Linked DNA regions of Rhinolophus ferrumequinum. The protein of the gene in region 1 purifies or fractionates together with the protein of each later gene. This does not show direct contact. Links are inferred from orthologs where the notes say so. Each region holds a gene or a part of one and is shown in the gene's direction. Other genes may lie near its edges.

Region 1 (3,743 bases):
AGCTTAATTTTATGCCGTCTATGCTTCTCACAAGAGCAGTAAAAAAAAAAAAGGCTGACATAAATAAGTTATAAGAATATCTGATCTTATAAGAACATTACACAGAATCTTTAAAAGTTTTAGCCCTGGCAGGATTCCTAGGTGAGAATGGGCAGCTATTTCATATTTTACTTTTAGTTGCCCCCTCAGTTTTTTTTGGTCAGGACTTCAACCAGGCCCCTTTGGAAGTTAACAGTTTATTTATGCATGCAAACCCTTTTCCTTTGCCGGGTCTCATTTCTTAGTGCTCTAGGGAGAGATCCCACCAGGCAGTGAGTAGCCTGATTTTAAATTCTTAGGCTCCTCTCCCTCCCACTCACTTCTTGCCCTCCTCCCCTTCACATTCCTGCAACTTGGAAAGACAGGAAAACAAGACTTCACACTTTAACATTTTAAAGGAGCCAACCACTAGCCAGCCACCTCTCTCTAGGATGGACACAAGGTGTACGGTTATTCCCTTACACGAGTGGGTATTTTAAAATCTGGTTGGGAGATGACATGCTACAACTTTAGAATTTAAAAAATTGTAGGGGGAGTCTTTTTAAACTCAAAAATAACCTCACATTTCTCTACCACCTTTCCATTGGCAGTGTGGAAATAAACAAAGACCAACAGGTAAGAACAGTTTGCTATAGCAAAGAACCCAGCCACCTACACTGAGTTTCGTGGACACTCAGGGCAGGCAGCGAGAAAAGGGGAAAGCTGCACGTATGCTCTGATTGGAGTGTGTTGGCCTGGGGAAGCTAGAGGCCTGCTACGGTACCTAGAAGCCAAGCGTCTCGTGTGATTGGTTTGGGGAACATATTTGGCTTTCTCTGATTGGTCCCGAGTTGGAAGCAGGGGCAAAAATTGGGGAAGCTGGCAGTCAATGACTGATTCCTGCCCATTCTCGGCGGATTACTGCGGGGGCTGTTGTTTGTCTTCACCAGCTGCTTGCAGCAGAGGTTGTGGGTCGGGGTCCTGTAGTCACACACGGTCTGGCCATTGTCCTATATATTCAGTCTCTCAGCCGGGTGAGGCCCGGGTTTTTCTTTTCCCTGACAGCTTTCTAGCTTCGAATTTTTGTTTTACTTGGAACACAATTTTCCTGTTATTTTTGTTAAGGGAAACGGAGACATTAGGATATAAAAAGTATTTATAAGAATAAATACATAAATATCCTTCAGTGAGGGTCAGGCGGGAGAAAGAATCACCCTCGGCCTTCCGGTTCCCCATGTCCCTACAGAACTCTTATTTCCATTATAACCGACTCCTCAGCGGCTTTCCTTTCCTTTGCGGGAGGTCCGGCCTTCCCCGCCCCCTCTTTCTTTGAAGATAGCCTATTGGGGCCGGGAGGAAGGTCGTTGCCCTAGGACCCCATCCCCCTCCCCCCACCCCCTCCCGGCGCAGCCCCAGCGCAATTCCCCCTCGTCGTGTCCTTCAGTCCCCGCCGGGCCCCCTTCCGGCCCCCTCCCTCGAGCGCGCCGGCGTCTCACGGCCACTAGTTCTGCATGTTCCTGGACGGACGCGGCCCCTTTGGTCCTGCAGCAGCTTCCCTGGCCCGCGGGAGATGTCAGGTCAGCGCTCCCCTCCCCGATTCGCTGCCGGGAGAGGCCGTTCTCCGAACGCGTCCTGGGTCAGGAATAAGCAGATCCTCTCTGGTCACAACTCTCGATTTCCACTTTGGGGGGCGGGCGAAGGCTGGGTGGACTTCGCAGTCACCATTCCCTAGTCGTTTCTCCTCAGCTGTGGAAAAAGCAGCCCTCCTTTCCCTTCTGAGAAGAAACCGTACTTCCCCTTCAACTTTCCCTCAGTTCTGGGCCCGCTGGGTGCCCGTTGGTGTGAGAGCACCGCTCTCTATTTTCTCTTGGGAGAGGTTCCGCGGCCCCTATTCTCTTGCCGCGAAGCCGCAGAGGCCGTGACGCCCTGGCGGGCACAGCGGCGGTGGCTGAGCTCTCGCCATCTTGCGTGGAGGAGGAGTCGCGGCCGCCGCCATGCGGAGGCCGGCAGCGAGGCAGGGAGGGAGGGGGGCGGCGGGCGAGGGAGGGGGCTCAGGAGCCGAGTTAGCTCAGCCCGGGCGGTGACTTCGGCGGAGCCCTGAAAGCGGGCAGCGACGGCGGTAAGGCCGGCCGGCGGGTGGAGCGGCGGGCGCGGGCGGCTCGGGCCTCGGCCTTTACAGCAGAGCGAGGGCGGGGGCGGAGGAGGCCGCAGAGAGGGGCCGGTTGGGGGCGGGCGGAGGTTTCCGAGGAGGAAGGAGCCGCCGCCATTTTGGGAGCTTCGAGTCAACAATAAAGGACCGAGGTTGCCGAGCGGGTGTGGCCTCGGTGGTAGGACTCAGGCCCGAGCCGCGGGGAGTGGGGTGAGGTCGGGGCTGCGGGAAGCCTCTCGGCCGGCGTGGGGGACACTGAGGCGGAGGCCTAAGACCTGGCTGGACCCTGGGGAGGAAGGCAGGCGGCAGCTCTGTGGGGTGGAGGCGTCTGAATATGGGGCTGTGCGCGGCGGGGTCTGTAGAGGGAGCGGGCCAAGTACTCGGAGGAGCTTTATACCGTAGAAGACGAGGGAATGTGGGACCATGGGGGCGGCAAGGACTTACGGTGATGTTGGAGGTTATAGGGTACGAGGCGGCCCTATAGGGGGCGGCAGGGATGTGCAGTAGTGGAGGGCTCCGTTTAGAAGGGGACCAGCAGCTGCTTGATTGAAGTAAGGCCTTGTAGGTCGGTAACGAGTGGGTGATTCTGGAACCCCTCCGAGTCGTGGAGGAAAGAAAGACTTTCTGGGTTAAGGGTTTCTCTTTGGGGCCTCATAGGAGGAGTACCTTTTGTTTCCTACCCGCGGAGCTCGTTCCCTGCTCTTGTTGCGCAGATAGGATTGCAGAGCCCCAACCCGTTTGTGTTTATGGTCACAGAGAGCTGACTTGGTGTATGTGTGTGCGGTTTTTTTGGGTGGGTGGGGTGAGGCGACAGGGAGAGCAAGAAATTATTGTCCTACAATTAGGGGGTCCAAATCATTGGCTAGTTTCCTTCCCTTATTGCTTACTCCCTTTTCCACAGTCCCCTTTTCCCCTCAGAATAAAACAGGCCAACTTGCAGATCCAGCTACAGAAAATGCGCTGCCTTTGCAAACAAAGCTTTCGCCGGAGATGACGATACTGTTTTGGGTGTGAAACTGTCAGTTGCTAACTACAGTCCGGGAAGTGGTGTAATTAACTCCGTATGGGGCTCCTCCCAACTAGTCTACGTTTCGTTCGTACTATTTAAAATGCAGAAATATAATTTCAAATCTAAATGGGGAAGGGATAGAAGGAATATTTTCTCTGAGATGTAAAACTGCAGTGCAGGTTTCAGTTTAATTAAGGAGGGGAGCAATTATCAGTCACAATTTGGATCTAGGGAGACAGGAAGTGTTACATGCCTGATGGACAGTAATGATATCATTTAATCTTTAGAGGTTGCCTCCTTCATCCTCTAGTACTTTGCAAACAAGTCTTCTGGTGTGAATTACGCGATACTGTTGATCGTAATATAAACCTGTCAATACAGAATACCATTTACTGCCCTGAACTGAAATTAGGTGACTGTTAACCACTATCTGCTTAGGAGATTAATTCCATTCTGGTAGACTTCGAAATATACCTCTGTGTGTATGATGATCTGGATTTGCTTGTGAGCAAATTTATTTCCAGTTTTTTAAAAAGTAAGAGACTCAAGAAATATTTTAAACATATT
Region 2 (3,743 bases), on another chromosome or scaffold:
CTTCCCCTCCCAACCCACACACGCCTCCTTTTTACCTAAGGTGGGAGATAAAGCTGATTTCCTCCTTTTCAGGTGTTTGCAGAATATAATGAGCATTTCTGGCTGAATTATAAAGGAGATTAATTTCAATTTGGCTACTGGAAATTCGTGGTTTAATCATTCTCCAGGCTTTTCTATCTCTCTATCTTTTTATCTGACAATTCTGGGAGATTGAGGGGGAATTTTGGTGTTTTCCTCCTATCATTTCCTAAAGTAATTGCACTTTTTTTAAAAACTAGATTCTTCACTTAAAGTTATCTAGTTGCTTCCAGTTCAATTACAACACATTTAAAAAACGGGTTACTGTGCTGGCTAGCAAGCTAAGTTAAAGTAAAACTTCGAAAGGGGCCAAGGTCTAAAGTTCGCACATTCTTGTGAAGTCTGTTTTGTTTCCACCGAAGGAGACCCCATTATCCATAGCTCTACCAATCACGTACATTTATTTCCTTTAGAGCCTCATGAATGAGGAAAAAGAAGTTCAAGTGAGGGAAAATGGGTTCAAATGAAGGTCAGATACCCAAAAGAGTTTTCTGGTTACTGTGTTGCTGGGGTGGAAAAAGTGGGGACAAGGTAACCAGATGTGGGTGGCCCCAGGAGGTTGTGCGATTCCAACACAGTTGGTCTTGGCAGGAAAAGAGATGACGGCCTGTCTTTGAGACACCCAGTTGACACAGCCTACTGTGTGCCAGGTGCTGGGGATACAAAGAAAACTTGTGAGATGCTTGTGTTGAAGGTGCTTTAAACGTAGCAAAACATAGTCTCGGCCCTGAAGGCCCTTGCAGTCCACCTTTTAGGTTGCATCAGGTGGGTGCAATCGCGGGTTCCCCCAGCAGTCTGAGGGCGTTGAAGGAATACTGGGGGGCGGGAAAGAAACGCTGCCCTCCCGTCCTCCACAGTAGGCCAGCCCTGCAGGCGAAGACAGACACGCCCTCTCCAAAGGGCAGACCCGCCTCGAGGAGGGCGGATCCGGGCAGGGCTGGCCGCCGGGCCCTCACCCGACCCCCGCGGACGCGGCCCAGCGCGGCGCCCGCTCCTCACGTGTCCCTCCCGGCCCTGGGGCCGCCTCACGTTCTGCTTCCGTCCGACCCTTCCGACTTCCGGTAAAGAGTCCCCGTCCCGCACCTCCGCGCCCACCCGGCACCGCCACGCGGCGCCTCTCTGTGCGCGGCCCCCGATGCGCTCGGCTGCCGCAGCTCCTCGGGGCCCCACAGCTACCATCGAGCCTCGCCGCTTCGCCGCGACTCGGTGGCCCGGGCGGCGCTCGTTCCCGCGGCCGGTGCGGCGGGGCGGGCGGGGCGGCAGCGACGCGACTCCGGGCCCGTATCCCTCCGCCGCCCCTCCCCCGCCCGGCCCCGGCCCCCCTCCCTCCGGGCTGCGCTCGCCTCCCTCCGCCTCAGACTGTTTTGGTAGCAACGGCAACGGCGGCGGCGCGTTTCAGCCCGGCTCCCGGCGGCTCCTCGGTTTCAGCGGGCCTCCCCGCCCCTTCGTCGTCCTCCTTCTCCCTCTCGCCGGCCCGGGCGTCCCCCCGGCCGCGCCAACCCGCGCCTCCCCGCTCGGCGCCCGCGCGTCCCCGCCGCGTTCCGGCGTTTCCTCGGCGCGCCCGGCTCCCGGCTGTCCCCGCCCGGCGTGCGGGCCGGTGTATGGGCCCCTCACCATGTCGCTGAAGCCTCAGCAGCAGCAGCAGCAGCAGCAGCAGCCACCGCCGCCTGCGGCCGCTAGTGCCCGCAAACCCGGCGGCGGCCTTCTCTCGTCGCCCGCCGCCGCACCGTCGCCGTCCTCGCCCTCAGTCTCGTCGTCCTCGGCCGCGGCTTCCTCCTCCGCAGCGGCGGCGAGCGCAGGCGGCGGGCGGCCCGGCCTGGGCAGGTGGGTGTCGCGCCCCAGGCCCCTCTGCTCCGGGCCCGAACAAGCCCGGGCCTCGCGTCCCCTCCCCCGCGGCCCTCACAGCCGTCCCCGCCCCGTGACCCGCTGGGCTTGGGGGGGTGGGCTGGGGGCCCGCAGTGGGGGTGGGGCTCCCGTTCCGTCTGGAGCCTGGGGGGTTCGGTGGGGGGCGCCGCGGGATCCCTCTGGGAATGTCAGGCCGTGTCCAGCCTCCTGCAACACCCGCACCCCCTCCCCCAAACGGTCAAGATGGAAGGACTGGGCAGCCGCCTCCTCTCCATTTAAGTGTTTGGGAGCGGTTTACAGGTCGCAGCAATTGTCAGCCCCGGTTCCACCTTCCTTAGGCCTCCTCCGCCCCCAGTGGGGTGTGCTTGGGCAGCGCACCCACCCCCAGCTTAAATACTAATGTGGAAGGAAGGGTCTTTAGGGTTGGTTCCGTCTTCCGAAACTTGCCAACTCCCCCATTGGGGAATAACGAGGGAGGGGGAAAGTTAGGGCAGCGCCCCCTCCCTCCCCGTTAACGGGGCAGCCACCGGGCACATCTGGAATCGTTAGGGTCTGTCCAGTGCCCTCAACCTCCCCCTTCCCTGCCCTGGGAAAGATCGAAGGACCGGGTTGGGGTGGGTGGGCAGTGGCCCCCCCCGCACCCCTCCCCATTTAAATCCAAGGCGGCGGCGGGGGCTCCAGAACTCCGTGGAATCGTCCCGCTCCGTGCAGCCTCCCGCAGCGTTCCGCCCTCCCCCACCTGAGGAAGGGGTGGGGAGTGCCCGGCCCCCTCCCGGCCTCCCTCCTTCCCCCGCAAGGCCTCCCCGGCGCGGGTGGTGGCCGAGCCGCATTGCTGTTCCGAGGCCGCGGAGAAGGCGCCTTTGAATAGTGGTGGGCGAGGGCCGGCCCCAGGCGTGCGTCAGAAGCCCGGGCCGGCCTGGGGACCTGGCGTGGTGGTGCTAGTGCTGGTGGCGGCAGGGAGCTGGCACGCTGCGCATTTTGTATCAACCCCCGCCCCAGTTTTTGAAATTTCGAGGGGAGAGGGATTGCAGCAGGAGACATGGTGGCAGAAATGCGGGTGTTTACTTGCGTCGTCTCCCCATAACCCAGGTTTGTGGTAGACACTGAAGGCTCGGTGTCGTCTCAGCTAACCGGGTCTGACTGGAGGGTGTGTTTGTGCGGGAAGGCCTGTGGGGCGGTGTGTGTGTGTGTGTGTGTGTGTGCGCGCGCGTGTGTGTGTGTGTGTGTGGCGGGGGGGGGTTGTCAGTTCGTATTTCACGAACCAAGAAAATGCTTAGTGTTCAAAGCAAATGTCAATAGACTCCATTCCATTGTGGCCAGTGTCCTTAACTTGGGGAGTGCCGCCAGCGCTCACCAAGGGCACGCAAGTCCATTTCCCCTGTGCCCCAGCCCATCCGTGCTGCCGGCTTTGCCATGCCTCCCGTAGGCCTAGGTGGGGTTGACAGGGTTGGTGACCAGGGTCCTCCTCAAATCGACATCCTGGCCTTTAGAAGGTGGGATAAAGGGATTTTCTTTTCCCCGTACACTGAGTTTTCTTTTTAAAAACAGGTTTTCAGCAATCCATTTCCAGAGAATTTTCATTTATGGCAGGAGAAGTTACCCATCAAAATGAATCTGAGCCGATTTTTAAGGAATTCTGCAGCCTTCAATGGGGGGAATGGGGACATTGGGTTTTTTGACTCCTCCCCCCACCTCGCCCCGTCAGTTTTTCCCCTTCTCAGAAACACCTACAAAAAGCTACTTAGCCAAACTAATTCAAATGAAATGGCTATTTACCCAGTTCTGTCCACTAAGGAGTCTATAATAGCTTCATTTTCTCT

Evidence for each region.
Region 2: the proteins of DDX6 (region 1) and ATXN2 purify together in Homo sapiens (affinity purification with mass spectrometry; 6 studies listed by BioGRID and IntAct, counting the BioPlex papers as one, with this or other methods). This does not show direct contact. The link is inferred for Rhinolophus ferrumequinum from reciprocal best matches to the Homo sapiens genes DDX6 and ATXN2.

Annotation. Positions count from the first base shown.
Region 1 is NC_046294.1:88,089,466-88,093,208, reverse strand, and holds the start of DDX6 (probable ATP-dependent RNA helicase DDX6), read left to right. Parts: upstream 1-1,436; 5' UTR 1,437-1,595; intron 1,596-1,604; exon of another isoform or gene 1,605-2,137; intron 2,138-2,248; exon of another isoform or gene 2,249-2,377; intron 2,378-3,743.
Region 2 is NC_046308.1:6,922,560-6,926,302, reverse strand, and holds the start of ATXN2 (ataxin-2), read left to right. Parts: upstream 1-1,561; 5' UTR 1,562-1,693; coding exon 1,694-1,902; intron 1,903-3,743. UniProt on the Homo sapiens protein: Involved in EGFR trafficking, acting as negative regulator of endocytic EGFR internalization at the plasma membrane.